4 linked regions of the Medicago truncatula genome follow. The main gene of each other region encodes a partner of the protein of the gene in region 4 in a complex. Links are inferred from orthologs where the notes say so. Each region holds a gene or a part of one and is shown on either strand. Other genes may lie near its edges.

Region 1 (7,053 bases), on a different chromosome or scaffold from region 4:
ATATAAATAGATATAATCATCTTGAATCCTAATAATATCAATAATTTGCATTTACACAAAGTTTCCATTGTAGAAAACACTATAAGACCAAGACAAGACAGAAATATAGGGAAAAAGAATAAAAAGAAGAATATAAAATTTACCCGAGTAAATCATTTACTTTCCCACAAGAGACACAGTAGAAGCCTCCATCATGTTTGGGGCGTTTGCCATCTTTGCCAATTCCAGAACCATCATGTTTTAAAGCACACTCAAGGTGGCATGACAAGCCGCAAGAAACACCAGGAAATGGAGCTTCAGAGCTGCATATTAACCACAGGCTAGGGTCTTTGTTGTCGTCATATTGATGACAAATACAACATGAACACCTTTTGCAAAATGCATCTCCTTGATTTAGCGTAGCCTTGCATGCTGAGTTTTTGCAGTATGAGGTATTATGATTCACATCGCCACTGTTATTGACAAAAACATTGTTTTCAGGAACAGCTAACCGAGATGGATTCTCAATTTTTCTCTGCCTTTTAGCAGGTTTCTGACCATTTTCAGGAAAAGAATGTGGTTCAGGGTCGGTGGCAATATCATGGCCACTTGATTTCTTTTCGGAAACAATTTTCAGAAGATTTTCGATAATTTTCACCTTTGTCAGCCCAGTATACTTCCTTTCTTTTCCCATCTCAGCACACAATATTTGTAAAATCTCTTGACGGCTCCATGACTGTAGTATCTCAGATGCACCATCATGAGACGATTTAGATATTTCATATACAAGCTCTCTTTTTTCCTCCATACTCAATTTACTAAATTTAGAAGGATCAAGAGCAACTGCTAAGATCAAGGAAAAAGAAAACAAATATTAGCATATTATTATATAGATGAGAGCATTCCAATTTTAAAACTTCCAAGTGCTGAAGGAAACAAGACTATTTCAACAAAGACTTCTGCTACAATTTGTACTCATGCTAGACATGTCATCATCAAGAAATTATACGCAGAAATAATGGATTTTATAGAAGAAACTATAATGCATTTTTTAATGAACTAACATATTGATTGCATATAATATAACCAAGAAAACAAGAACAAGAAACATAACATATAAAACTGTAACTGGTTGAACTTGCATCACAAGGACATCCCAACCACTTGATGCAGAATGGAATCTAGGAATATTGGATAGCTCAGTGTAAACGCAATGGACTAATCAAGTCAGCCAATTAGGTAATTGGACTTAACTTCCTTTGACTTTTATAAGCACCTTCATGGACCTGCTTATTTAGTTGTTGGCACATCGCATATCAAATGATAAGCCTACTTCAATCAAGACTCCTTTTTTAATCAAAATGCATTAATAAAATATTGAACTGCCCGGCCCCTAAATGCAGTTCACACCAAAAGCTCGGGAATAAAAGGCTATATATAGCATAGATTTTAAGCCAAAAAAGGCAGAATCAGCAAAAGATAAATAAAATAAATTACAATTAAATCAAATAAAATAGTGAAACACCTCTCTCATTAAAGTTCATTCTTTTTTCTGAAGGAAAAAAAATCAAAGCTAATCAGAACCCAACATTCAGGAAGGACACGCATGGAAAACAAGGTTTTACACCGTTGTCGTGTTGTGATCCTTGTATTGCAGAAAATTGCGGTTAGATACAACTGATGCACCCAGAATTAATGCAATTGTGGACGCATAGACATAAAAAACCTTGACGTGTCATGCCTCGAAAAACCATGAGAAAGATGACATGGCAAATAAATCAATCCACAATTAAATCACGCGAGATATTAAAGCATAACACAGATAACGAATCCAACCCTTGTCGTGTAGCAGCCACATTTAACGCAATTTTGGACACGTAGATATAAAAAAAACCTTGACATGTCAAGCCTCAGAAAAACTCGAGAAGATGCCACAACAAATAAATTAAACAACAAAGAAAATCGGTTTCTTGTCATAAAAAATAAATTGGTAAAAAAGCATAATGTTAAATCACACGAAATAGTAAAGCATAACACGGATAACAAATCCAATCCTTGTCGTGTTGAGATCATTTTTATTGCGGAAAAGAGCAGTTAAATACATCAACCTCAAGTAACGCAATTGCGGACATGTAACGGAAAATTGCAGTTAAATACAAGTCATGCAAAATTACCGCAATATCATCGGAAGCGTTGACATGCAAAATCTTGATGATGAAGAGACCACAAAAAGTAAATCAATCCACATAGAAATCAGATATGTCACAAATCACAATGCTAAATCATGATATCATATGGACCACGAAACTACAGAAAAATGAGGTACATGACCGATGGCAATGCTAAAACATGATATGATAGAGATTAATCATCGTTAAATCACATGAGATTATAAAGCACAACAGAGATTATAACGAATCTAATCAATCATTGAGATAATTGAATCACCTCAGTTTGAATATAACGAAGAAAGTGAGATATAAGAATACATGAAAAATTGAAGAAAATTAGAGAGATAAAATAAGCAAGTGATGGAAGCGTGTGTGTTACCTTGGGAAGACGAATCGGTAGCCATAACTAAGAACGAGAATGAATGAATCACATCACATTATCAACAAAATTCATCGAACCTAAACAAAAGTTAAATAAATAAATCCAATCCACGTCATGAATCGCCGTATAAGGAAAGAAAATTAAGAGTGATTGATAGAGAAAGATTGAAATGACAATTACCTAAAAAAAAGATGCTTTCAATTGTTGAAGAAGAAGAAGAAGAAGAAAACGGAATCACTCAGTAACTGAAAAAAATGGTGACGCGCGCACACTCTCTCTCTCTCTCTCTCCTCTGTATGTGATAGAGGGAGATTCGAGGAGAAAGTTGTTGATGTACTTACTTTGCTTCTAGTCTAGAAAGAGAAAGCGTTTTAGATAGGTGGAAGGAGAGAGAGAGAGAGCGCTTTAATATCTCTCACAAATTTTTCGGCTCAATTTTTGTGACGCTTTCAACATCTACAATGTATCTAAAACTAAACGATGATATGAACATTTCTTCATTGAATAAATCATGATGCGGCAAAATAGATAGCAAATAAAAGGTTGAAATAGCTTAAATAAGATGTAAAAAAAATTATTTTGAAGGAAATGTGTTTGAGTTGCATAGATATTAATATTATATGACAATTTAGGAACCACTTGAGGAGGAAGGCTAATAATACTCTCTTTTGAGGCTCACTATTTTATTGAGTAAAATCAATATGTCCAATTACTTTATGTCGGTTCCATTTCCAATGTATATGCCCCACGTTAGTTTAAACCAATAAAATATAGCTATCATTTCACTTAAGATTGGTTATGGAATCAAATTTAGATTTTTCGCAAACTTGTGATAAGTGATTCTTTAGATAAATTGACAAATACAACTAAATTTACGACACAAGTGCAATGTGTTATGTTTAAACATGAGTAAACGTGTTTCAATTTAACAATATTGGTGTGCGTTTGATTTGTTAAAAAATGAAGGACAAGACATAATAACTTCAGCTGTTTAGTGTTTGATTTGCAAAACTGTTTCAGAGACAGGATAAACTGGAGGCAAGGAACATGACAAAAACTGAAATTTTTGTCCCTCACCAAACCACAGCACAACTTTTTTGTCCCACGTACAAGTTGTCTAAAACATCAAAATAGTATTTCGTCCCTCAAAAATCATACAAAACAAAAAATTATTCAATACCATAAAAATTTGTTCTGTGTTGTTATGCCTTATGTTGTGATGTTCTGTTTTGTACTGATATGTTCTATCCAGTACTTACTCTTTTGCAAACCAAACACACACCTTACAACTTAGGAGGACAAATTAATCTTTCACTTAATTTTGACTCTTTACTATAGATGAATTAACTTTTCTCTGTCTAAAAATATCAAAAATCAATTTTAGAAAAAAAAATAAACTTCTAGTCACTTGTCTTAATTTTAAACAACGATCTTGTCTTTTATATTTATTTATTGCATTTTTTTTATTTTAGTCTTTTGTATATGAATTTTCAACAAAGAGAACCACTGATTTAAACACCGAAAGCTCGTATCAAAATCAAATATTAAATCTTAAAATTCATATACAAAATTAATTCCCTCAAAAAATTCATATACAAAATTAGTTAAAAGGACAAAGATAATGTGAAAAAATGTGAAGAAGGAAATCTTTACGTAAACGTTTAGATCTAAAATAATGGCGTTATTGCCGATTTATTGTTGCGATGCTCACTGACTTTCAATTCAACATTTTTTATAGTCGAATATTTCGGTAAGAAATTAGGATAGTATAATATATTAAATTACTAAAATAGCCCTTTATTCTTTTCATTATCTACTGGCACATACACCATATCATATCAGGTCCATTCAATAACCTGTATCATAAATCCATACATCACAAAAATCTGAGTTAGTGTGGCTGTGTGTGTGTGGTAATGTCTTTTGCATGATAAGATTTCATTCAGGTGAATGAAGTCTTTTTCTCGTAATTAATATATATATATATATTATTTTTTAAAATAAGCTAAAATGGAATTTGTTAATATAGCAATTAATCTTAACCGGCACAAGGAATGTTAGGCTAGGAGTCTTACAGTAACAATAAACAAAGGATGATGGAAACCCCCAATGGAAAATCCATACACCCGTGAAAATAAATAAAAATCCAAAAACCTATAGGAAACACCTCCTAACAAAGGGCTATCTCCGAAATCAATAAATAGAAACACCAAAACAAAGCTAACATCACGATCAACAAAACAACATAAACAAAATCCTCAAGCATCGTCACAACTGCCACAAAAACAACTTCTACCACACCCACATTCCGCTGCTCGCACACAACCCCTGAACATCAACTTAAAAACCTACACCACAACCAACAACCTTTGAAAACAGCCGGGAAAAAAAACCCCAAACACCACCATGAGCTCTCCTAAGCACCTTCATCCAAAACACACCTCGTAAACAACCGCAAAAGCTAACCAAAAATCCTTGTACCATCACCAAAAACCACCACAAACATAACCACAAAAATCAACACCATTACCACCACCTTCACCAAAACTACCATTGACCACCACAAAAATCACCATTAACCCTCACCTAAAAGCAACACCAGCCACCACGCGCAGCACACCTAAAACCACCACAAGCATCACCACCAAAAACCACCACGAGCCCCCGCCACAAAAGACCCAAAATCAACACCACCAAGAAAACCATCATGAAGTACCACAAACCAATACAACCAAAGATCCATCGAAACCATATAAGTTCATAAGCGAATCTAGATATGATTCATCACCACCATCGTGACCGATCTGTCACCACCTATGTTGCGAGCAAACATAACCTCCACCACAACCAAGAGAGAAAACAAATCAAATAGTTTGAGACCCACGAAAACCAAACAACCACAGACAAGCATCCAACGACACACCACAAAACCCACCAACGTCTCAGCCAAACGAAACAAATAAAAAACATCAAAAATACAAACCAACCTTTACGACGATAGAGAGCAACCGCACGTCGGAAAGGTACGGTGGTGCGGAGGACAGTGACCCTCGTCGCACCACCATCCATTTGATCTACATGATGACGGGGGCGGATTTAAAATTTGTGTGAGGAAGAAAGGAGTACGGCGGTTTTACGTTTAGAAAAAATGGAATACAACGGCTATCTCTTATGTGTGTTTTGTAAAAAAGTACGACGGCTATTACTATAACTCCATTCATTTCTTTTCTTTTTTTATAAATCTCTTATCTTCTAAAATTTTGTTCGTATTCACACTTTTATCAAAATTTTGCAATAGAATATATATTTTTTTAACAAATTTTGCAATGTATATTATTACAAAAAAAAAAAAAAAACTTAATTTCATTTGTCCATTTATGATCGATTGGTGGCTAACGATTGGATAATAGAGTCTGTTAAAACTTTGTTGATATGGCCCTATGGCAGGGACACACGCATGTAAGATTGGAATCGACTGTGGGGACAACATGGTCAATTTAGATAGCTGCCCCACTAACTAATATTGCATGTAAGACATTGAGTTTTTTTTTATATCTTATAGTTTTGACAAAAACAATAAATTATGGTCTTTGCATATACGAATCGATGCTTTCCCATCTCATGCCACTCACTGCGTCAAAAAAATCTCATGCCACTCATTTCCTACACATTTGTTGGCTTAGCTTGTATTGCACACACGACATAGTATAATAATAAGATTTGTTGACTTAGCTTCTTAAAAAAAAAAAAAAATTATTAATAATTTACGCTTGCTTTCTTCAACTCTTAAAAAAGGTTAAGATATATATATAATCCAATAAAAAAATGTAAATATTTGATTATCTAACATATTTTATGCTATGCAGTTTTCTCCAACAACGATGATATTAATCTCTCTGTGTTTATTGTTAGGTCATGAGAGGAGGTTGGAACTTGAGAGACCATCCATATTAGACCCAGAACAATCATACAAATGAGTTGGACACCAAATATTTAACTAAAATCTTAGGGCAATAAGTTTATGAGTCACCACGTTAATAAATAAAGTGTTCAACTTTCATTTTTATAAGCAATATGCAGAACTTCCAACTCACGTTCTTTACACAACAATCTTCCCTCAAGTGTGAGTCCATCAATTCATTAAATGTTGTGTAGCGAGTGTAAGCCAGAAGTTACACATTGCTTAGAAAAGTGGAGGTTAAACATTTTATAAGTAGAAAGATCGGTAAATCCAATGTCTCAGGGTTTTGGAGTTAAAGTATAATGTACACCTTATTTGTTACTCTTAACTAAATGCGAATATTCTCATACTCATATCGTGTCTCAATATTATGCCTCAAACAAAAGCTTTTTAACCCACACATACTTGCATTTATACTTGTACCACTTGTTATTGCACCAACGTGACACGTCAACTGAACACCTTCCTAGGAAGACTTTCTACACCAAGAGGCGATCAAACCTTTGTTGAACCTGATACTATTGCTGGATCACGAGGAGAAGCGAGTTATGCACGTTAAT
Region 2 (7,073 bases), on a different chromosome or scaffold from region 4:
CCACGTCGGAAATGGCTCCGATGACGGTGATCTGAAAACGGAGAATGCGCGACGAGAGATTCATGAATCTGTTGAGATATCGTTGTCGTTAGCAACTTCATCATCATCTGAGGAAGATGATCAGCTGTCCAAGCAAAACGGAGAGGTACACTGTTGTTGTTGTTAGCTTATTATACACGGAAAATCCTTGAGGACAGTGCGTCTCATATTATTTCATTGTTTATTATTTGCAGGTGAAGCATTATCAACAACAACAGCGACCTCTATCGTATGGTTCGGTGTCAACCATAGGCTGTAGGAAGGAAATGGAGGATGCGGTGAGTATGGAGATAGGTTTTACGATGAAGGATGGAGAGAAGTGTGATTTCTTCGGTGTTTATGATGGTCACGGTGGTGCTCAGGTGGCGGTGTCGTGTAGAGAGAGGTTGTATAGGATTGTGGCGGAGGAGGTTGAGATGTTTTGGGAGGATAGGGAATGGGATTGGGAGAGGGTGATGGAAGGGTGTTTTGGTAAAATGGATAGGGAGGTGGCGGGTGATGCCACGGTTAGGACCGTGGGATCCACGGCTGTTGTGGCGGTTGTTGTTAAAGAGGAGATTGTTGTTGCGAATTGTGGTGATTCTAGAGCCGTTTTGGGACGAGGTGGTGAAGTCGTGGAGTTGTCTTCTGATCATAAGGTACTGTAGTACTATATTTGATTTTCTTAATATATTTGATAGTACTAATTTCTAGGCAGTATACAACTAGATAGATAATTGGATGCTCTCATCATGTGCTTGATTTCTGACTGATGTGTATGAAAAACATATATAGTCACACCGAGATTGCAGCAAATTGCAATATCTATACATTGTTGCATCTAGATTCTAGAGTCAATTATTTGGATTTTGATTATTATTGAGATTTGAGATCTTGTACTATATTTAGATTTAGATGATTTAAAGTAGATAAATTTTTTCATTCCAAAGAAAACTATTGTATGATAATGAATGAAGGTAATATTGATTTCCTTGTTTGTACACAGCCAAACAGGCCTGATGAGTTGATGAGAATAGAAGAAGCTGGTGGAAGAGTCATAAACTGGAATGGCCACCGTGTTCTTGGTGTTCTTGCAACTTCACGATCTATAGGTTTGTATGAAATTTTAACTTCACAAATACTTAGATTTCTAGCTTATGATAATGTTGGTTAATCCATTTTTTTTTAGATTATTTATATTTTCTACTTTGTTATATGCATGTATTTTCTTTGATCAGCCATTTTTAAAATAGCAGAGTAACTTTGACAAAAAAAAAAGTAAAGTTTGATCATATGCGTGATTGCTTTTAAATTTTTAACCAATCAAGATGACACATTGCTTAAATTCTCTGATAAAGAAGAATCTATAATAGAATGTGATTCTTTTTTATACAAAACAAGTTTGCCACATGTTTTGCGTATATGATTTTCAATCTTAATACTATTGGGAAAGTGTCTCATTATTTAAATCTTTGAAGATTATTGGACGGAAATAAATTATTACATATGAATCTTGACCTGTTCTTAATACTTGTGTGTATGGTCAAACACGTGGAAATTTTCAATAATACAAGAATATTTGTTGTATAAACACGTTGATTTCAAAGAGGTTAAGGAATCCTTCTACTATCAAATTACATGGAAAACTGTAAATCCCACATAATCAATTAATCAAAGTTTGGGTGTAAATTAGTTGAGCAGTAGTTGAGCTATATATTGTAAACTTATTACAGAATGTTCTAACTTTTAGGTTATGAGGCAAAAAAAAGAAGTTCAAAATCCATCAATAAATTGAGCTTGATATTTTTACTTACTTTTGGAAAATTGTGTTTGTAGACCTATATCCTTTAACACCCATGAGAGAGATAGAAATAGAGTATGCGTTGTGATTAAATGTGATAAGTATGTGATGTGATAAGAAGTGAGACGGAGAAAAAATGAGGTGTTGAATAAGTGTTGAAAAATTAAAAGTGTTTAAATATAATGGTTGTTAAGAAATATGCATGTCAAGCTTTAGTTTTAAGCTTAGTTTTATTGTAGTCAACCTAAACATTTATTAATTTTTAACAAGTCATGAAGCACGAGTTTTTAGCTAAGCTCGATTAAATCATTTATAAATAACTGATAAAATCGATTACATATATATTTTGTCAAATAGAATTAGTAAACTAATGATTATTGTTAAGAACCAATTTGATATGTTCTAACTACGAAATTTGATGCATGCAGGAGATCAATATCTTCGACCATATGTAATATCAAAACCTGAAGTCACCGTGACAAAACGAACCAATGAAGATGAATTTCTCATACTAGCAAGTGATGGCTTGTGGGGTGTAATGTCTAGTGAAATTGCATGCCAAGTTGTAAGAAAATGTTTCAAAGGCCAAATTAGGAGAGTTTGTCATGGGAATGAGAATCAAAGTAATCGTGCTGCTGAAGCTGCAACACTATTATCTGAGATAGCATTGGCAAAGGGTAGCAGAGACAATACAAGTGTCATAGTTGTTGACCTAAGAGGAACATTAAAATCTAGTTGACAATTGATGACTTTATTAGTTTTAAATCAAGGGGGTGCACCCTCTGTGCCAAGATATTATCAAGTACATAGTAATGATAATTAATTAGTGTGAGAAATACAATCTCTAACACGCTTTTTTATCCGTCAAAAAAAAAACACGCTCTTTTAAGATATGTTCAATGTTATCGATTAATTGAAATTTAAGTGAGTTTGATCTCGCTCGAAGTAAATTTCATTATATTAGAAACAATGACAAACATATGAGTTGGTGGTTATTGAATATTATCGTGTATGTTTGAAAGAGTGTTTTTTTTTTTTTTTTAAAGTATATCGTGACATTTTTTCAAGATTATTGATATGAGAATTGTGTGAGAATTAAAATTGAATGATAGTATATAGTGGTATCTAATTTTGAAAAAGTGGTCTAAGGATCAATCTTTTGCAAAGTTAACAGTTTAGATCTTCATATTTCATGACTGGAATAAACTTGTTGTGAGCATTTTTCTTTTAATTACTATACATCACACCTTGCAAATGTTTTACCTCTCTTGTTGCTACAAAAATGAAATTAGAACTTCATTAGCTATTAGCTAAGGTTAATTCAAAATCAAAATAGAAATTTTATAAGGGTTTCAAATCATTGGATTCACCTTTAAATATATGTACATAAACATCTCCTCCATCCATTCACATAAGAACTCAATCCCTTCAACCTAACATCTCGCATAAATTTCTTAAACGAGACCTACTAATCAACTATCAATAACTTTATATTATTACATATAAATTTTTTAATATTAAAAAGGTGTGGGTCCCACTTAAGAAAGAGGGTCTTAAGTGTGACCCGGGTTTTATAAGACCTCGAAAAGTTCCTCCCCAATGGAGTATCTAATAGGCACTCACTAGATCATAAAAGGTTAAGACCCTCCCATTGGAGATGGTCTTAGAGGGAAGTTTCGGGCAACCACAAGAAAACACAAATGATATCTGAGACAATATGTCACATGAGATTATAATAGTAGCAAAAAATACGCCGGGAGAATCAATAGCTTTTGGATCCAAGGTTAAAAAACCTTGATGGTGGAGAAAAATATTCAAAGTAAAGTTAAAATAAAAAGAGAATGTCATAAAGATTGATCTAGGTGTAAAAATATCAAAACTTGGAAAAATTATAAGAGTTAAGAAAAAAGACAAAAAAAAAAAACGATAAGCGAAGCAAAAACCTAAGCTTTTGAAGGGTTATACCAATCCTTATGCACCAAGGAGGGAGAAAAAAAATTACCAAACAATTTAACTTTAATTTTAAAGCTCTAAATTTGACTTTATAGCACTAAAACAAAAAAAAAAATTAAACATAAATAATTTAGTAAAACGCAAGTGATTTTAGCAAAATAAGAAACACTTCTATTAAAGAAGTGAAAGTTGAAGATAATTGACATGAAAGTTTCACTTAAAACGTAAATTATTGAATTTAAATCGAGATAATTGAATTCAAATCCAAAACTCACATGTTTTTATATGACATGAAAGTACCACTTAAATTGAAGAAGGGAAAATCATATTGAATTACCATAGAAGAACAATTTATCACTTACATAAGAAAATTTGAGACCATATGAAACCCTAATAACTAATTTGGTCTCACTCAGTCCTCAACTGTCATCCCTCACCAGCTCACCCACTCTTTCTCGCCGGCCACCGTAAGCTTCTCACTTTTCCAGGCTTTCATTTTCATGTTTCACTTTCAGAGTTGTTTTTTTTCTTCTCACTTACGATATTGTATTGTATTGTATTGTAAAGTTTCCATTTTTGTAACAATCTCATTGTTTCCTTATTCATATATTCTGAAATGAATATTTATATTTTCATTTTCTTCTCTTAAATTATGGTTACTATTTCGAAATTGTTCATCATTTGCACATTTCATTTGAGATTTCGTTTTTCTTGTCACTGAATTTATGAGAGAGTATTTTCATTTTCTCAGCTTTGGTTGCACGCTAAGTGTTTGATCAAATGCCAATTTGGTGGAAAAACTTTTTTTTTCTTGTAAGTTAGATGCTAAAAGACATGGGTTGTGTTTGGTTAAAACACTTAATTTGAATTTGCAGCTTCTTATAGCATAAGCATTTATCATATAAGTGCTTATGAATAAACTATCTGCCTGTTTTGATTGGCTTATTTTAGCTTATATACTAGCATAATGTTTGTGAGACTGTTTGAGTGAACTTATGAAAAAACCTTATGTTTATAAACTCCAACATAGTTTGCGCAAAATAGTTTAACATTATTTTAACTTTTGTTATAGAAATAGCTTATACATGAGTGTTTATTATGATAAGCACTTATGCTATAAGATGACAATTAAGTTGTTTATCAAACAAGGCTTATTTCTGTTACACAAAATAAATAAAGTCAAATTGTTTTTTGTATAAGATATAAGCTTTTTTATTCAGCTATATTGGAGATTTTATGGAAATAAGCTTAAAATAGCTTACGAGCATGTCATAAGCTCTCCCAAACAGTCTCACAAATGCCTATGCTAGTAGATAAGCTCAAATAAGCAAATTCAAATAAGCCCTTATTAAGTGTTTGCTTCGGCAGTCATTTCAGTTTCACCGCGTGTTTTGGCAAGATGCTACAATTAATGGCTATAGTTTCACTGCATGTTTAGAAGAGGCTACTTTGATTTCAAACAACCACTTAGAGTCAGTTTCTTTCAATAAACCTTTCTAAAAGCACTTATGTAAGAAGGAATATTAAGAGAATCTTATGATAATCATGAGTTCATCAATGCCTTATGTGGAAGAGGTCTAATATCCAATCAGTTCTGAGAATATAATAGGAATGGAAGCTGGAAGTGATTTTTTCCCTTTGAATCCCGATAGTGAAAAAGATTTCTAAAACCTATTTGGGAAACCTTGATATGTTTTGAATGAGTAGGAAGATCATTGTGCAATGGATTCAAAAGGACTTTGTTTACTATTAATTTGCTCCTTACATTGTCTTATTTTCCATGTATCATTTGGAATTGGATTTGAATTTGTTGTTAAATTGTTATTGAACTTGGTCAATGCCAACTGTCATTTTGGATTAGGTATTAGTGGTTTTTTTTATTATATTTTTTTCTCCTTGCATATTTTCTACTTTTTGATATTTGTTTTACATTATCTAGACTAGATGAGATTGGCGTGTTCGCTCCGTAAATCAGTGACTTGGCCAAATAATTACTGCGAGTAAAATGTTAGATACAATGTCCGTAAGGCCTTGCAGTTGTGTGTGTGAGTTTTATGTGGTATTTGCCACTTCGTTTACGGACCAAAAATAAATGTTAGATACAACTGTCCATACTGGCTAGCTCATGACCTATCACGTTTTGCCACTAGCATGACTCCCCCAATCTAGTCCTTTGAGTGATATGGCTTTTTTGACTCTATCTGAAATTTCAAAGATTAAATGGGTTAGGGATTGGCCCAATCAATGATGGGCCGTCCCCCGTTGAACCGACATTAAAATATACATATATCTTTCTCTCCCGCCGTTGCTAAACTCATTGGGAGCTTTTGTGTACTCTTCTCCATTGGCATTGGTCTCGTTTCATATATATTCTCCAATCTAGATCTAATTCCTTGATTTCTTCTCCCGTTTTAGGTGATTGTCATTCTCTTGTTGAATCTGTTTTTCACGGAGTGGTAAGGTTTTTCCCTTTTCACGGTATTTTTCGTTTTTTATTGTTTGAATGTGTATATCTGATTTTTGCACATGCTTCCTTAATTGGATCTATTGTATCATTATTTTCGATCTGTTTCTTTCCGTGCTACCCCTAATTTTCATATGCTTTGCTGTATTTCTACTTTTTTATGTACTTGACGGAGTAACTTGAGGAATTTGAAAGATGCAATGCAATATATTTCTTGATTGACATTTTTGACTGGGAGATTGTTTAACTAATAACTTCATGCAGAAATTTAATGGGATTATAATATCTCATTTGTTTTCTTTTGTATTGTCAAGTCAAGTAGTTTACTTGTTATTATCATGTTCTCATGGCTAGCAATTCAGCTGGTAGCTTTTTATTTGGCTGTCAACTACTACAGTTTCTGAGATTTTAGATTCTTGAGATTTTCATATCTGCAGATTACTTATTTTACCGCGTGTATTCTTCTCAGGTCCAGTACTTAATGCTCCTTAATCCAAAGCAAATATAAAAACGCTGAATAGCTGCTTCTTGTCCATGTTGTTTGTGCAGTTTCTGCATATATTTGTTATGCAAAATGATATCCACCGATAATTTGTTATGCAAAATGATATCCACCGATAATAAGTGGAAAATAGGCAAAAAAATACGAGTACATTATTTTATGTCATGTCAATGAACATGTTAGCGGACATTTTTATTTCCCAATGAAGTTTATCTAAAATTAAGCGTAGCAGAGATGAGGATGTTGTGTTGGATGAGTGATAAGACTAGACAGGATATGATTAGAAATGACACCATTAGAGAGAGAGTTGGGGTAGCACCTATAGTAGAAAAGAT
Region 3 (7,997 bases), on a different chromosome or scaffold from region 4:
TTGAAGTAGTCGTCTAAAATTTTAGCAACGGATTTATTGAATGACTAACAAGAAATATAAGTATTGAAAATAACAATGAGAACAAGTTAAGATGACTTATAAGGATTGAAAACATTAGATTTCATTACTAAAAATACCGACTTTTAAATAAAAATTAATTATAATATACTCTAACTGATAACATAAATATACAACATAACAATATGACCTATAAACTTAACAACAAACATCCACATAAGCATCTTTTAATTAAACTTGATAAAAAGAGGGCAACAATGAATATATTTTATAATTTAATGGATTAAGCTGTATATTTATAGTGACTAAAATCATATTTAACCTTTAAATATATAAAAAGTGGGTGCATATACGATTTAGGTTAAGGGAAACTAGTGATTATTCTCTATTTATTATGGTTGATTTAATTTCCTTATCATCTTTATGCTCCAACAAAATTATTCTTTCTTTCTTAATGTTTATGTGGGCACTTTTTTACGGTGGAGGAGGACAATTCGGTAAGGGAGCGCTACATGATAGAATAATGGAGGAGAAAAGGAAATTGATGATGGAGGAGGAGATGAAAGTTTGCGGGTCAAATCAGCTTAGTCATGGTTAGCAAGTGCGATATAATATTCGGATTCCTTTAAGACTAATATTCTTTAATAACCAATATGAATAGAACTTACCAAGTAAAATATCAGTAGGTCCGAAGAATCTTTCGCCAACTTCAACGCCATGACCACTCATATAAAACATTAAGGAATTACTTTTTTGTGTTTGACTTATTAAATTTGATAACTTGGTCAATATTTCAGTAGTCTCAAGATAGTACCTGAGTGAGTTCCAATAATTTGCATCGTCCCTCGTGATATGGATATTTTCGTCAATAAATATACATATCATCAAAATATCTTTCATATTGGCACGATGTCAAGAGAGCGTTATTCAAACATGTTTTGATTATTGATAAGAGTATAAAAATATATGAGCAATTTTCAAAAACTACTAGAACATCATATTATAAGAATTCCAATATCTTAACAAATTTCCCTCACAACATTGTTGTAGCTAAAGGAAGACATCGTGTTTATGTCTTTGCAGATGTTACTGTGATTGAGCATATGTCTTTTTTTGCAAGACCAACTACATTAGAGTCAACTTCCCAAGTTCTAGGTATTCCTCTATTAAAAATATTTGTCATTACTCACATACCTCCATAGTCACACTCTGTTTCTGAGTTACAATATTATGGTATTATTATGAACGTCAATGTGTTCTAGTTTCAATGGAAATGTGGTGAGTTCGGCCATAAAATATGTATAATCTAACTAAGAATGATTTCACTCGAGAAACGAATTTGAATTTTCTTGAACAATTGATCCTACTGTATAGCTCATTAACCACTCGAGTCCGATTAATTGGTTACTGTTTTCAACATTTTCAGTTTCAGTACCATAATAATTGTTCAGATTCAATAGTGTGTTTCCTTGGGGGTTCGACCATGAGGTATGTATAATGTGACTAAGCGTTATTTCGCTCGATAATCGAATTTGAAATTTCTTGAATGATTGATCCTGCGATATAGCTCCTCAACATTTTAAATAGAGTGTGTTACCCTAATATAAGCATATTTTTGCTTTATTTTTCTTTAAGGGTAGAGGAAGCATATTTTTGCTTTATTTTTCTTTAAGGGTAGAGGGAGATTGTTATTCTCACCACATTGAACTTTCCGAAAGAAGTGTTTGTTCTAGTGACTTACATTCGCTTACTGTCTTTCCATAACCTACAGAACAACATAAACAAATAAAATACTTAAATAAGTACACAAGCATTTATCTTAAAAGATAGACAAAACTTTTAAAAAAAGGTAAGTAAAAACCTGTTGAGATATTAAGTTTAAAGTTTTTTTGTTTGTTACACAAGTATGGGAAAAGACCCCTGAAGAAAAAGTTTGGGAAAAAAGTTTTTTTTAAAGGTAAATAAAACTTGATAATCTTAATACAACAAACATAAGTGTCTTATTAACCGATCAGTTAAGTAACTAAAAGTATAAAGAAAAGTCAAATTTTACATTAAAAAGAACAGGGGCATTACACACCTTAATATCTTTTTTGAGTCAAGGATAAGAAAAAAAATATAAATTTTCAAGTTCGAGGGCATTTTGCACATAAGTGCAAAACTTCAGGGGGTATTTGCAAAACGTCAAGTTGACTAACAGAAGAATTTGACGGAAGGGGTAAATTGATTAACGTTGTGCAATTTCAGGGGGGTAATTGAAGTTTTGTTAATGTCAGAGGATAATTGACGAAACTTACAATTTCAGAGAGGTAATTGTCTATTTACTCAAATAATTACTAAATTAATTGAATAAAAAATCAACAACAATAAAGAAGATATTTGCCATTCAAAAAACAAAATGAAAGAGATATTTGAGTTCATACCTTTTGATGAGAAGTTATTAGATATAAGCATATATAAATAAAAAATGAAAGAGATATTTGAGTTCAACCTGCAAACGACGAATAAAAACATCTCAAATAGAGTAAAATCATAGATAAATAAAATATGAAAGGTGATCAAACAATTCATGTTTGTATACTAATTTGATTGTCTTATTGCACCAAAAATAAAGGTAAATATATATGTCATTCTTCAATTAGTGACTATATTTGTGATTGGTCCTTGAATTCAATCAAACAATATTAATTCTTAGTTACATTTTTCGAAACAATAGTAACTACCAAACATTGTTTCCTCACATGTGATCAACATATCCAAAACCATACATAACATAACATGTAATAACAAAGATATTCACACAAGCTGAAATTCAACTAATATTTATAAAAATATTCACATATCTCTTGTTCGCTTTGAAAGGACGGCACATTTTAAATCTTTCATAGAAAATCTTTTAAAGGAGAAAGTTGTGTGTATGGTATTCTATAAAATAAAAATATAGGAATTGTTTGAAAAATATAAAAGGTAATGTGAAATGTCAACATATCACAAATACATGACTATGCAGTACGAGTGATTAAAACTAACCTTATAGCATGCCAATTTTATGAAAGTACCAACTTTTAAGATCAAACAGTACAATACCAACATATGGTATCCTTTAAAAGATTCCTCTTCACATTATCATAAAAACATTAGTTGGCCAACCTTGTAGAGAAATGCGTGTATTTGGTATTTTAAAAAATACATGTAAATGAATAGTTAGGAAAATATAAAAGGTAATGTGAAGTTCCAACATATCACCAATTCATGACTATGTAGTAAGAGTGATTAAAACCAACCTTGTAGCATGTCAATGTTCCTCATAACATGTCAATGTTCTTAAAGTACAAATTTTTAAAATTAAATAATAGTGTCTGCAGGGTGTACACTACAATGGGGGCTATTTAATGTTGTGTTAAATAAGCGAAGCACCTACCGTTGTGGACGATCTTAGTCGATGAATTTTACAAATAGGAAACCATGTTTCTTAATGTGTAAGTCGTAAGGCATACACATACACGCTCTAGTCATTATTAGGATAAATACCTTTTTTCGTCCCTGTAATATTAGCGAATTCTGGTTTTAGTCCCTGTAAATAAAAAGATTTAGATTTTGTCCCTGTAATTTCATATTCTTCCACTTTTGGTCCCTCCTTTCATCACGTCAACAAAATCTGCATCAATTGCGTCCCTGTAATTTCAGATTCCTCCCACTTTTGGTCTCTGTAATTTCATATTCCTCCACTTTTGGTCCCTCATTTTACATGCCATGTATGCAGATTCTGCTGACGTGGTGGAATGAGGGACCAAAAGTGGAAGAATATGAAATTACAGGGACAAAATCTAAATCTTTTTTTTACAGGGATTAAAATCGGAATTCACTAATATTACATGGACGAAAAGAGGTATTTACCCTCATTTTTATTAGCAAAAATCCACATTTTAAATTTATCTAATAAATGATTTATGTTATTATATAGATCACATACATTGCATATTGAATCAATCTAAAAGATGAATTTCTACTTATAATAGTGACCAAATGAGGTACACAAGTTTAGATTGGTTTATCAGAAAATAAAATTAGAAGGTATAACAATGACATTAAATTAAATGTATGGATAACATCTTCGTGGAAGTGTTACTTAGACACAAACCCAAATAAAATTATTCAAGCACACATTCATAAATAAAAATATTAAGAAACAATAATATGGTCACATTTATTAATTATTTTTTCATTTAATTATTTTCAATTGTGAATGTGTGCTCAGATAAATTTTATTTGGGTACGTGCTCATGTAGATTTATCCTAACATCTTTAAATGAACGTCACGTCACATCATTGTCACTCAATACCTTTTACCACTTACTAAGAAACATTTGAAACAATTTTTTCTTTTCATGTAACAAAAAATTTGTCAATAAAAGTTGACTCGTAAGAAGTTGATTTTTCCATAAGGTCGTGAGTTGAACTTTTAATTTTAGAGTGAGAACCAAATATCTGATGAATGATAATGTTCATTAATCCTTAAGACCTATCCTAACTCTCGTAAGTCCCCAGAGATCAACTCACCTAAATTTTTATTCACAAAAAATTTGTAAATTTGTGTATCCATTTTTTTTTTCTAAGCATCAATATATACAAATTCAATTCTTCTCTTTCATGGGTGGTCTCATTTAGTCATACTTTGAGAGAAGGGAACGAATGTGCTGACTGGTTGATTAAATTTGGTGCAACTAATACTGACTCCTTGAAGATGTGGACTTCTCCTCCATCTCAATTGGATATCATCATGCTTGCGGATACCTCTGGGGTATTTAGGCAGCGGATTGACTAGTTTGGTTTTCTTGTCTTTTAATTTCCTCTTCATCAAAAAAAATATATACAAATTCAATTTAATTTTCTATTATTTTTATTAAATGATAATCCAATTTAATTAATAAAAATACGGCAAAGGGGTAAGTGAAGAAGTGAGGGAAGTAGTGGGATAGAGAAGGGGTTAGTGAGTGTTTATATTTCTCCCTCGAAAAAACAACATCACATTTGAGAGTTAGGGTTTTGAAAGTGGATGGGGAAAGAAGACGAAGAAATGAGAGGCGAAATAGAAGAACGAATAATCAACGAAGAATACAAAATCTGGAAGAAAAACAGTCCCTTCCTCTACGATCTCGTCATCACTCACGCTCTCGAATGGCCATCTCTCACCGTCGAATGGCTTCCAGATCGCACTGAACCCTCCGGCAAAGACTACTCCGTCCAAAAACTCATCCTCGGGACCCACACTTCCGAAAATGAACCCAATTATCTCATGCTCGCTCAAGTTCAACTCCCTCTCGACGACTCCGAAAACGACGCCCGTCATTACGATGACGATCGTCCTGAAGTTGGAGGGTTTGGTTGTGCCAATGGGAAGGTTCAGATAATTCAACAGATTAATCATGATGGTGAGGTTAATAGAGCGAGGTATATGCCTCAGAATAGTTTTGTGATTGCTACTAAGACGGTTAGTGCTGAGGTTTATGTTTTTGATTATAGTAAACATCCTTCTAAGCCTCCAATTGATGGAAGTTGTAACCCTGATTTGAGGTTAAGAGGTCATAATACTGAAGGGTATGGTTTGTCTTGGAGTAAGTTTAAACAAGGACATTTGCTTAGTGGTTCTGATGATGCTCAGATTTGTTTGTGGGATATTAATGGTACTCCTAAGAATAAGTCTCTTGATGCTCATCAGATTTTTAAGGTATTCTTATTGGGTTTTCTACTTAATTTTGTTGTTTTTTGTTGCTTGGTTTGTTGTTGATGATTTTGTGTTATTGTTTGTTTAGGTTCATGAAGGTGTTGTGGAAGACGTGGCTTGGCATTTGAGGCATGAGTATTTGTTTGGTTCTGTTGGGGATGATCAGTATTTGCTTGTATGGGATCTAAGGACACCGTCTGTTACTAAGCCTGTTCAGTCTTGCATTGCTCATTCTAGCGAGGTGTGTTGCTTAATCTATTTAAATATATGAGTTTGTTTTGATTATAAGCTCTTTTACATTTGGTTTTTTCAAGGAAGTATAATTAGTTTAGGGTTTAGTTTTGTGAGAATATGCGTTTGTTTGTTGTGAATTTTTGTTGCATATTCTTTGATTTGTGTTAAAATATATTTAATCTAGGACAATTGTTTTTGGCTTGAAAGTAGCAACCTATTTTGTGGAAATTAGTGCGAGGGATTGGTGAATCTGTCAAAATGAGCATGGCCTGGGGATAACGTGCTAGGTGGAAAGATACGGCGAAGTATAACATGCACCATTCGAACTGGGTGGTTGAAATGGAGCAGGGCCTCCAATGCTTTATGTGATGCAAATGTAGGAAGGCCTAGGAGTTTGTTTTGGATAATAAGCTCTTTTACATTTGGGTTTTCAAGGAAGTATAATTAGTTCAGGGTTTGGTTTTGTGGGAATATGCATTTGTTTGATGTGAGTTTTTGTTGCATATTCTCTGATTTGTGTAAAAATAGATTTAATCTAGATAATTGTTTGTGGCTTGAAGTAGCAACTATTTTGTGGAAATTAGTGTGAGGGATTGGTGAATCCGTCAAAATGAACATGGCATGGGGATATCATGTTAAGTGGACAGATACAGGGAAGTTAAACACAAACCATTCAAGCTGGGTGGTTGAAATGGAATAGGGCCTCAAGTATTTTATGTGATGCGAAAGTACTGCTCAAGTTGATGGGAAAATTTCATTGGACGACTCTAAGAACCAATATGAAAATAAATTAAGCGTGGCGGAGATAGGGATGTTGTGTTGGATGTGTGGTACACTAGACAAGATAGGATTGGAAATGACAACATTTGAGAGAGAGCTGGGGAAGCACCTATAGTACAAAAGATAGTGGAAACTAGGCTTAGGTGGTTTGGGCATGTAGAAAGAAGACATGTGGATTCCATCGTAAGGACAATAGATCAGATGGAGGAGAATTACTAGAGGTAGAAGAAGGCCTATAAAAGGCATAAAAAACTATTGAAGAAAAATCTTGAGATTAATAAGTTGGATAGAAAAATATTGGTTATTGTTGTTTAGATATGAATTATGATGTGCTGTTGTAAGAGGGAATTTGAAACATGGACTTATATTTTGTGATTATTCTAAAATTATCAATTTATTACTGTTCAATCTTCATTATATCTTTTGAAATTTATGAGTTTTTGAGAATGTTTGACCCAACCCATCAAAACATAGTGATATTAGACCTAAAGGTTCAACGTTGTGTTGAAAGACTTCATTCGGGGTGGGTGATAATTGAAAACTAAACACGGATAATGCATAAATTTTTAATCACGGTCAATATTTGAGAACTGGCCGAGACTCCACTCTGCAGTTGTACAGTGGCCATATTTCACATATCTGGCTTCTCATATTTTCCTTGCTGATATAATTTCCTGTCTTTACTCAGATTTTCAATCTGTTGGCTTCTTATAATGTCTTCTCCGTTGTGCTCTAATTCGACTTTATCTTTTAGCAGTGTTCTAGAGTTTTCACAATGCTGATATTACTCTCAATATATATCACTTCTAATAACACTTTTCTTTATATAATAATGACATTGGATCTTGTTAGGTTAACTGCTTGGCTTTCAATCCCTTCAATGAATGGATAGTTGCTACTGGTTCTACTGACAAAACAGTGAAACTGTGGGATCTGCGCAAGATCGGCAATGTTCTTCACACCTTTGATTGCCATAAGTAACATTCTCCTTAGTTGTTTCTATATTTACTCTAGATGTAATTATATTTAATAGATATTAATCTGGATTGTTGTTTTCGGGTTAACAGGGAGGAGGTTTTCCAGGTTGGCTGGAATCCAAAGAATGAGACTGTCTTGGCTTCTTGTTGTCTTGGTAGGAGACTGATGGTGTGGGATCTTAGCAGGTATTGCTTAATGAAAGCATCACCATATCTGGACTTTTTAGTGAATTTTTTATTTGTTTCCCTGAAATGTTTACTGA
Region 4 (7,322 bases):
TGTTTTGTGTGGATTGAATCCACGAGTTTTCCCACAAACTTAGCTTTTGTGGCCAACTGAACCACATTACTTATAATTAAGGAGAAAAACAAGGACATATTCAAATCATGATTTTAATTTTTTTTTTTCTTTCTATAAGTCGTGATTTTAGGAGTCTTGGTGCAAGGTAATTAAGTTGTTGCCACGTGAGTACTTGAAACAACATCTTGTGTAAAAAGTGAACTTTAGTACACTAGAGTGTCTTTTATGTGTAACTTTCTTCTAATTATTTTAACTTTTGTTGCCTTTGTGTTTTCTCGTATTATTGAGTGTGTCGTCCTTGAGTATGTTGTAATTTCTTGAATCAAGATACTTAAGCAAAACTTGATTGGGTTCTTCAAAATTGTGTTTGATCAAATATATAATGCTAAAACCATGTGGATTGTTTGAATCTCTACACATGAGACTAACATAATCACAGCACTCATTGTGATTCTAGCAAAAACTATACTTCTATACATCGTATCTTTAACAAACTCATGGTGCAATCGTGATGTTGTTAAATTCACCACTCATCCAAACACATATATGGATGACTTGATGTATGTCATGTATATATATCAGAATATGACTTCCAATAATGTATTCTCTACTTCTCATGAAATTAATGATTCTGGCTGAAACCAAATGTGCTCGAATCTCTGTTTCATTTTCCATTTTTTTTTTGTTGAAAAAATAATTCAAAAAAATAAGAGATGCAAACAAATAATCTAGAGAATTCCTTCATGTTTTATTGGATACTATACTACATGAATTCAGACATTAAGTAGAATAGCTCTTGGATAAGATTGTTAATAGAACAACATCTGCATTAAGTAATTTTTGACCTGTGCTTCAGTGACATGCATGTGTGATTCACAACTTTCTTAATAGCATTTTTGACAGTATGTGGGATAAGATTAAGGTAAAGGAGTTAAGAAAGGATATTTGGATGCAATTGGGTTTGGGTGATAAGTTGGAAAGCTGTTAGTAAAATCACGTTCATAGATAGTTCCTTATTCTAAATTTTAAAGATGTCTACCATTGCAACTTACAAGCAAGAGTGATGGTGAATATAACACTTGTGTACTTCAGATAAATAAATAAAAATATCAAAAAGAAATTCCAAACTCAGATCAAGACTACCAAAATAACCTGATGCAAATAACAATCTGGCACCTTATAAATTATATGTTTCTCTTTCGTTGATAAGAAAAGCAAAAGAGAGTACAAGATTTGTCGAAGACTAAGTAAGTCATCATTCAACAAAATAAGCAAAGCTAAACAATAATAATAATTAGACTAACTAAGGAAAAACGCATCATGTGTTTCCAACTCCAAGTTTGATACTTATGTTTGGCTGGCTATAACCAACCACAACTATAGTGGAGTACTTGGCAATGAGACGAGACTGTTAGTGTGAAGCCATACCTTAATATCACCCACAACAATGTTGTCAATCTTTGTTAGTCGTTTGATCTTGACATTGTAACTAAAATGCATGGTTTCCCTACTTGTTACAGATGTATTTCTTCTTTTCAATAGAGATACTCGAAGGATAATTTGATGGTTGATCCAGAAACAAAACACCACACACAGAATATGAATCTCATGGCCGCAAGCAGTCGGAAAATCAAAAGGTCCCATCTCATGATAAAGAGACCATTTTCCTAACTCAAAATCCAAAACATAGATTTGAAATGTTCTACAAAATGCATCATTATTCACAATGCAAGAAAGGTGATTTCCCATCCCTAAAAATATGGCTTAATTGCACTTTTGGCCCCCTATCTTTCCAAAAGTTGTGATTTTGGTCCCCTAACTAGTTAAAATACAAAACAACCTCATATGTATTGGATCTTTGTCAGTTTTGGCCCCCAAGGCCACTTTTGACTTAGTCTTCGCTGACGTGGCACCCACAATGGTCGACATGTGACACCTCACTTAAGGGATGTGTGTGCCACGTCAGCGAAGACTAAGTCAAAAGTGGCCTTGGGGGCCAAAACTGTCAAAGATCCAATACATAGGGGGCTGTTTTGTATTTTAATTAGTTAGGGGTCCAAAATCGCAACTTTTGAAAAGATAGGGGGCCAAAAATGCAATTAAACTTAAAAATATTGCATCTGAATTAAGACCCATCAACACAGGGGGAAGTGGAAGTAAATACTGTCCTACAATATTTTCCTTCTCAACATCCATCATTGTTATTCCCTCTATAGTTATCCAGTAAAGATAATTGTCTCCATTATACTCCATTCCTTTTCTTTTGATGTTTTAGTTCTTGACACAAGTTTTAAGGAGTAATTAAAGTATATAAATATTTGTGTATTTTTTACTTAAATGTCCTTATTTATCATTAAATTCACATGTGATAAACCAAAGGTCACAACTACTTTAATAGTTTATTGTGTTTTCCAACAAGGGTAAACTTAAGAAAACAATAACAAATTCACTAAAACATCAAAAGTTTTGGAATATAGTTAAAGTTCTAAAACATCAAAAGAAAAGGAATGGAGCGAGTAATTTATAAAGTAGTTTCCAACAAAAAAACCATTCACGAGGAGCTTCTTTTCAAGCTATCTCTTTCCATGAGCTATCTACTCCAATTCTAAGCACATAGAATACATACCAATAAGCACCCGAAACCACTAGGATATCTACAAAAAAACAGCTTGAATTCAATAGAGTGAGGAACACGTGCTATAGTTACTTGACACTTAAGTTCCGATCGTTTCAGTGAAATCGGTAAAGAAGGAATTTTGAGCCAACACTTGAGGATGGGGTTCACGATGAAAATCTAGGACCATGACAAAGTAGCAATATTCCATCACAAGTATCGACAATGTTTCCCATTTTTTGAGGTGTTCCCATGTTAGACCTTTCAAATTCAAATAGACTATTCACATCATCTTTAATATCCAAGAAATAATAATTATTTTGATGCTTGCAATTTTCAACATATAGACCAGGTTTTGAATGTGCACGATGTAGGCACGCTTCGGCAAACAGGGAGCTGCGAATAGTAGTAGCCCAAGATTTGCAAACATACCTTGCAGAGTTAAGCAGACATTTAACAGGGAGAAAACTAAGGATATCAAACACCAAGTCTTCAGGGATTAACAACTTTGAAATCACTTTACAACTCTTACCACTATAGGAATTTTGCTTCATATTCTTAATGGAATGATCCTCATGTGACTTAGAGTTTGACTCAGAGAAACTGTACTTCTTTATGGATTTATATCTTCCCATTATCAATTAATCAAATTAAACTTGTCCTGCTTCAATCACTGCATAACATATCGGCCCAAACAAACATCACATTAGTTAAATCATCAATAATATGAAAAGTATACTATGTATAGAATCTGAAACTACAATGCTCTAACGATAATCACTTATACTTTTTCAGAGGGATTGGAATTTTAAAGAATAATAATATACACTTGCATAGTTTGGATTTTCTATATGCTGCAAGAGTTTTAGAATCTTGCTCAACCAAAAGATGAATTCATATGAAACATGCCACATTTTTCGAAAGTGTAAGACAAAAACTAAAATAGAAACTTACATAATAAAATCATTAACTCTCTTGTACGATGAAAATAACTCAATGGGATCTATGCAAAACATTTGAGTGAATGTGTTGCTCAAGTATATGCAAGCACATGCATGATGCATATTTTAAACTGATATATTTTTAATTAATTATAGCAGAGTTTTATATATTGTAAATTAATCTTTTACTATATGTTACTACTATTTAGCAGTGTATAGTTAAACAATGAGAAGAGAAGAGATTAAACATAATGCATGGATATAACTTGGACAAAAACTGACATGAACATAAACCAACTATTAGGGACAACAAAAAAGAAAGTTTTTAGTTTTTGCAACTAAAATCAAAATTCTTTATATTTTTTAAAATCACAAACTTATTTAACCCTCCTTCAAAAAAGAAAATAACACTTACTTAACCCCTAAAATATTTCAAAATTTAAATTGAAACTTGTTATTTAACAGAGTATAAATTTGCAATTCGCATACAACAACTAGAAGAAGAAGAAGCCAGCATCGATAAAATAAAAAAACCGTTTAGTGAAAAAAATCGAGAGTTAAAGGAAAGGAAAACTTAACATACCTATAAATAGGTATGTTTTTTGCGGGTGGGCTTGGGCTCAAAGCCCATGAGCTTTTTTCCCCTTCTTATACAGGTGCGTTAGAAGTAAATTAGAGGGGTGCAAATAACAATCCTCATCTTTTCCTCTTATATTAAGATGGGCCCATTATTATCGGGCCCAATACAGTGTGTAATGAACTACGTTGACGGTGCCATGCTCTTCCCTTCTCCGCCAGATCGACCAAGAACTTCTTCGCATTTTCTCTCTTCTCTGTAAGTCTTCCTCTCTCATGAATTTCTTTGTTTTCAGCTGCAATATTCGTTTAACCTAATTGTGTTTCAGCTCATTACTTCAATTGCGTGTAACAATGTATGTTTAATTGAAGTTGATTTTGTGTTTGTTTGTAGGTTGAAGAATTCAACATGTGCCGGCAAAATTCACCGGTGCATAATTCCGGTGAAGAAGAAATTACAGCTGATGAAAGTCTTTTGATTTATTGCAAACCTGTTGAATTCTACAATATTCTCTATCGTCGTTCTCTTCACAATGTATAATATTACTATTACTTCCTAATCAGTATATGATTGTTTCAACTTTTAATTAAGCTCCATAATATTCATTTATTGTTTTTTTGCTATTTTTTCTGTGTTTTGGTTGTTTAAATATTGGTAATTTATAATTTTATGATTAAGGGATTAGAAATTGTGCTATGATTTGAACTTAATGCCGAGATGAGATGTTGACTGATTTTTTTGATATTTAAACTTTTTTTTTTTTTTTTTTTTTTTTTATATCGTTGGGGCGTGTCCCCATGCAGAAAACGTAAGATTAATATCTGCCTGCCCGGGGGGCCAAGTAAAGTCTGGCCAACACATTTTTGAACTCTGCGGGAATCGAACCTGGGAGTACTAGGTCGTTTCCCCGAGTCTAGGGCAGGTTACTCCACTGAGCCGAGCGGTGTTGGTTGATATTAAACATGTGAAGTGGTTTTTATGCGATTCTACATTTGAAAGTTGCTCTTAAAAATTGAAATTAGCATACATGTCAAAATTTTATGTTTTTTTTAATATAAAAGATATGTTGATTGATACCATTTGGAATTCATTTCTCTTGCAGCCTACTTTTCTTAAGAGATGTTTGCGCTATAAAATAAAAGCAAAGCAAAAAAGGAGGTAAATATTCCTTTGAATTGTTATATACATGTATTATAGTTATTTCATCTAGTTTTTAGTTTCATCATTCAATTTGTTGAAGTACACTACTCTTTATACCATTTCCTTACTCTTAAATTGTTGATTCAACATGATTTTTAAGAGTTATACTAATAGAAATTAATTATTTGGGGATACATGAATAGTAATCATCTATCTACTTTTTTTGGTAATAGGAGAATCGATACAGAAAAAAAGGAATTTGATTTGTGAGGATTGAGAATCCGACAGTAAGAGAAATAAATGCTACAAACGAAAACTATTTAAATACCGACAAAACTTAATTACAGTTCCTTATGTTCTCGCCAATAAACTAAGTATACGTGTCATGTATTATCTTTTAAAAAAAAAAAAAAACCCCCGCAAGTTGTATTTGCAGAATCATCACTGCTTCGTTTCCTTGTACCATTGTATGAAAATTTTAATTTAGACTTGGCTGACTTGCAATGAATACCAACCCTTGATGGAAAAGAAAAAGTAAATGTGATGCTGCAGAACTAGGAAGTGTGTGAAAACTCTCTCTGTTCCCCACCATTTCTTTGACTATAGACCAGCAAACGTACGATAGAGGACGACTTGCTGAAGTGAAGACTTCGATCTGAGTGGCAGTCTGGGAAGTTGATTTGGGGGGGGGGGGGGGGAGGGGGAGGGGGAGGGTGGTGGTAATTTGGGACTCTGCGAGAAAATGACACCGTTTCTGTTTTTCGATTCCGGCACGAAATGTGAAATTTCGATTCACCATTCACGGGAGGTGTAGGTTCCCCTTGTTAGAGGGAAATCACAGTACACGTGTCCGTAATTTATTGGCGAACAACAGTAATAGGACCTTAGGCGCCGTACTTAAGATTTGTTCATTAAATAGTTCACAATTTATTAGTTGAAAAGAGAAACTAGCCTCTTTGCATATCGAATAAAGATTTACCCATTTTCAGATATCTATCTTATGTAATATGCAATGCTTCATTAGGGGTTGTAACTGGTAAGGTGAAGTTTTGAGTCTAGATGCCGAAAAGAAGTAAATGTCTCATTGAAGAAAGATGTTAACAGTAGGACAAGAAGTAAACAGTAAATTATTTGGCTATTTTATTTTAATTACGAAACTCTAGACTAAAAGTTGCATTTTGTCCCTAGTCTCAAATACTGTCCAAGTAATTCTTTAGCATACCATGATGTCTATTCTTCATCAGCTGATGATTTTTGCATTCTTGCCTGAATAACAATTAAGAAAGAAATTGTTTTGCTATGCTTTATCCTTGCGTTTCTTGTTGATTGTATTTATTGTTTGCCTTATTGGGTGGCAATTGTTTGATGGCTTTCTGTTTTGAAGGTTGCGAGCAGGAATTGTGGTTTTCAACTATAGGGACTGTTACAATGCGCTTCGAAAGACTGAAGGTACAGCATATTATCATATTGTCACCAGCTATGTTCAACATTACATCTTACCACTACCTTCCTATAATAAGTACAATTTTTAAGAGCAATCAAACTAGTAAACAATTTGGTAATGTTTTTATTTTCGATTCCGACTTCCTTCCATAGATGCTTATGGCTGATAGTTTTCAAGTGCAGAACTTCATCTGCCTTTAATTTGGACAGATATGATTTTGTAAACGTTACTCTTTTGAGCTGGCATTTTTTAATGCTTTTTTTTTGGGTGGTCTGTCATGTTATTCTCTTTTTTTGTGATGGTTTCTTATTAAAAAAAAAAAAAAAACAATTTTGACCGTACTGATACATTTCTGTTTCTTTCCAAATGTAGTGACTGAAGACTTTTCTTGTCCATTTTGCTTGATGCAGTGTGCGAGCTTTAAGGTATATGCTGTGATTTGAACTTCAGTAATTGCTTTTTTCATTCATAATTTGATAATTTGGGAGGTTGTTGTCTTGTCTCTTTTTTCTTTGTTAGAAGCTAAGAGAAAACTTCAAAAACTGTTTTTCATGGAAATCTATTGAATTTCAGTATTTTATATAC

The links.
Region 1: polycomb group protein EMBRYONIC FLOWER 2 (region 4) and VIN3-like protein 2 share a complex: the UniProt entries of both Arabidopsis thaliana proteins name them as parts of the plant homeodomain / polycomb repressive complex. The link is inferred for Medicago truncatula from reciprocal best matches to the Arabidopsis thaliana genes VRN2 and VEL1.
Region 2: polycomb group protein EMBRYONIC FLOWER 2 (region 4) and polycomb group protein FIE1 share a complex: the UniProt entries of both Arabidopsis thaliana proteins name them as parts of the plant homeodomain / polycomb repressive complex. The link is inferred for Medicago truncatula from reciprocal best matches to the Arabidopsis thaliana genes VRN2 and FIE.
Region 3: polycomb group protein EMBRYONIC FLOWER 2 (region 4) and WD-40 repeat-containing protein MSI1 share a complex: the UniProt entries of both Arabidopsis thaliana proteins name them as parts of the plant homeodomain / polycomb repressive complex. The link is inferred for Medicago truncatula from reciprocal best matches to the Arabidopsis thaliana genes VRN2 and MSI1.

What each region holds. Positions count from the first base shown.
Region 1 is NC_053045.1:61,341,075-61,348,127, forward strand, and holds the start of VIN3-like protein 2, read right to left. Parts: upstream 3,005-7,053; 5' UTR 2,719-3,004; exon of another isoform or gene 2,713-2,718; intron 2,615-2,712; 5' UTR 2,555-2,614; coding exon 2,530-2,554; intron 2,524-2,529; exon of another isoform or gene 2,428-2,523; intron 2,355-2,427; exon of another isoform or gene 1,262-2,354; coding exon of another isoform or gene 1,234-1,261; intron 826-1,233; coding exon 144-825; intron 1-143. UniProt on the Arabidopsis thaliana protein: Maybe involved in both the vernalization and photoperiod pathways by regulating gene expression. Binds preferentially to dimethylated histone H3 'Lys-9' (H3K9me2).
Region 2 is NC_053042.1:9,567,012-9,574,084, forward strand, and holds the start of polycomb group protein FIE1, read left to right. Parts: upstream 1-4,066; 5' UTR 4,067-4,239; intron 4,240-6,187; 5' UTR 6,188-6,228; intron 6,229-6,610; exon of another isoform or gene 6,611-6,705; intron 6,706-7,073. Other genes in the region: protein phosphatase 2C 51, read left to right, coding at 1-145, 234-677, 1,025-1,130, 2,248-2,558. UniProt on the Arabidopsis thaliana protein: Polycomb group (PcG) protein. PcG proteins act by forming multiprotein complexes, which are required to maintain the transcriptionally repressive state of homeotic genes throughout development.
Region 3 is NC_053045.1:46,472,558-46,480,554, reverse strand, and holds the start of WD-40 repeat-containing protein MSI1, read left to right. Parts: upstream 1-4,980; 5' UTR 4,981-5,074; coding exon 5,075-5,746; intron 5,747-5,831; coding exon 5,832-5,984; intron 5,985-7,609; coding exon 7,610-7,734; intron 7,735-7,824; coding exon 7,825-7,920; intron 7,921-7,997. UniProt on the Arabidopsis thaliana protein: Core histone-binding subunit that may target chromatin assembly factors, chromatin remodeling factors and histone deacetylases to their histone substrates in a manner that is regulated by nucleosomal DNA.
Region 4 is NC_053046.1:4,146,252-4,153,573, reverse strand, and holds the start of polycomb group protein EMBRYONIC FLOWER 2, read left to right. Parts: upstream 1-4,300; 5' UTR 4,301-4,411; intron 4,412-4,546; 5' UTR 4,547-4,561; coding exon 4,562-4,687; intron 4,688-5,255; coding exon 5,256-5,311; intron 5,312-6,677; coding exon 6,678-6,742; intron 6,743-7,109; coding exon 7,110-7,162; intron 7,163-7,322. UniProt on the Arabidopsis thaliana protein: Polycomb group (PcG) protein. Plays a central role in vernalization by maintaining repressed the homeotic gene FLC, a floral repressor, after a cold treatment.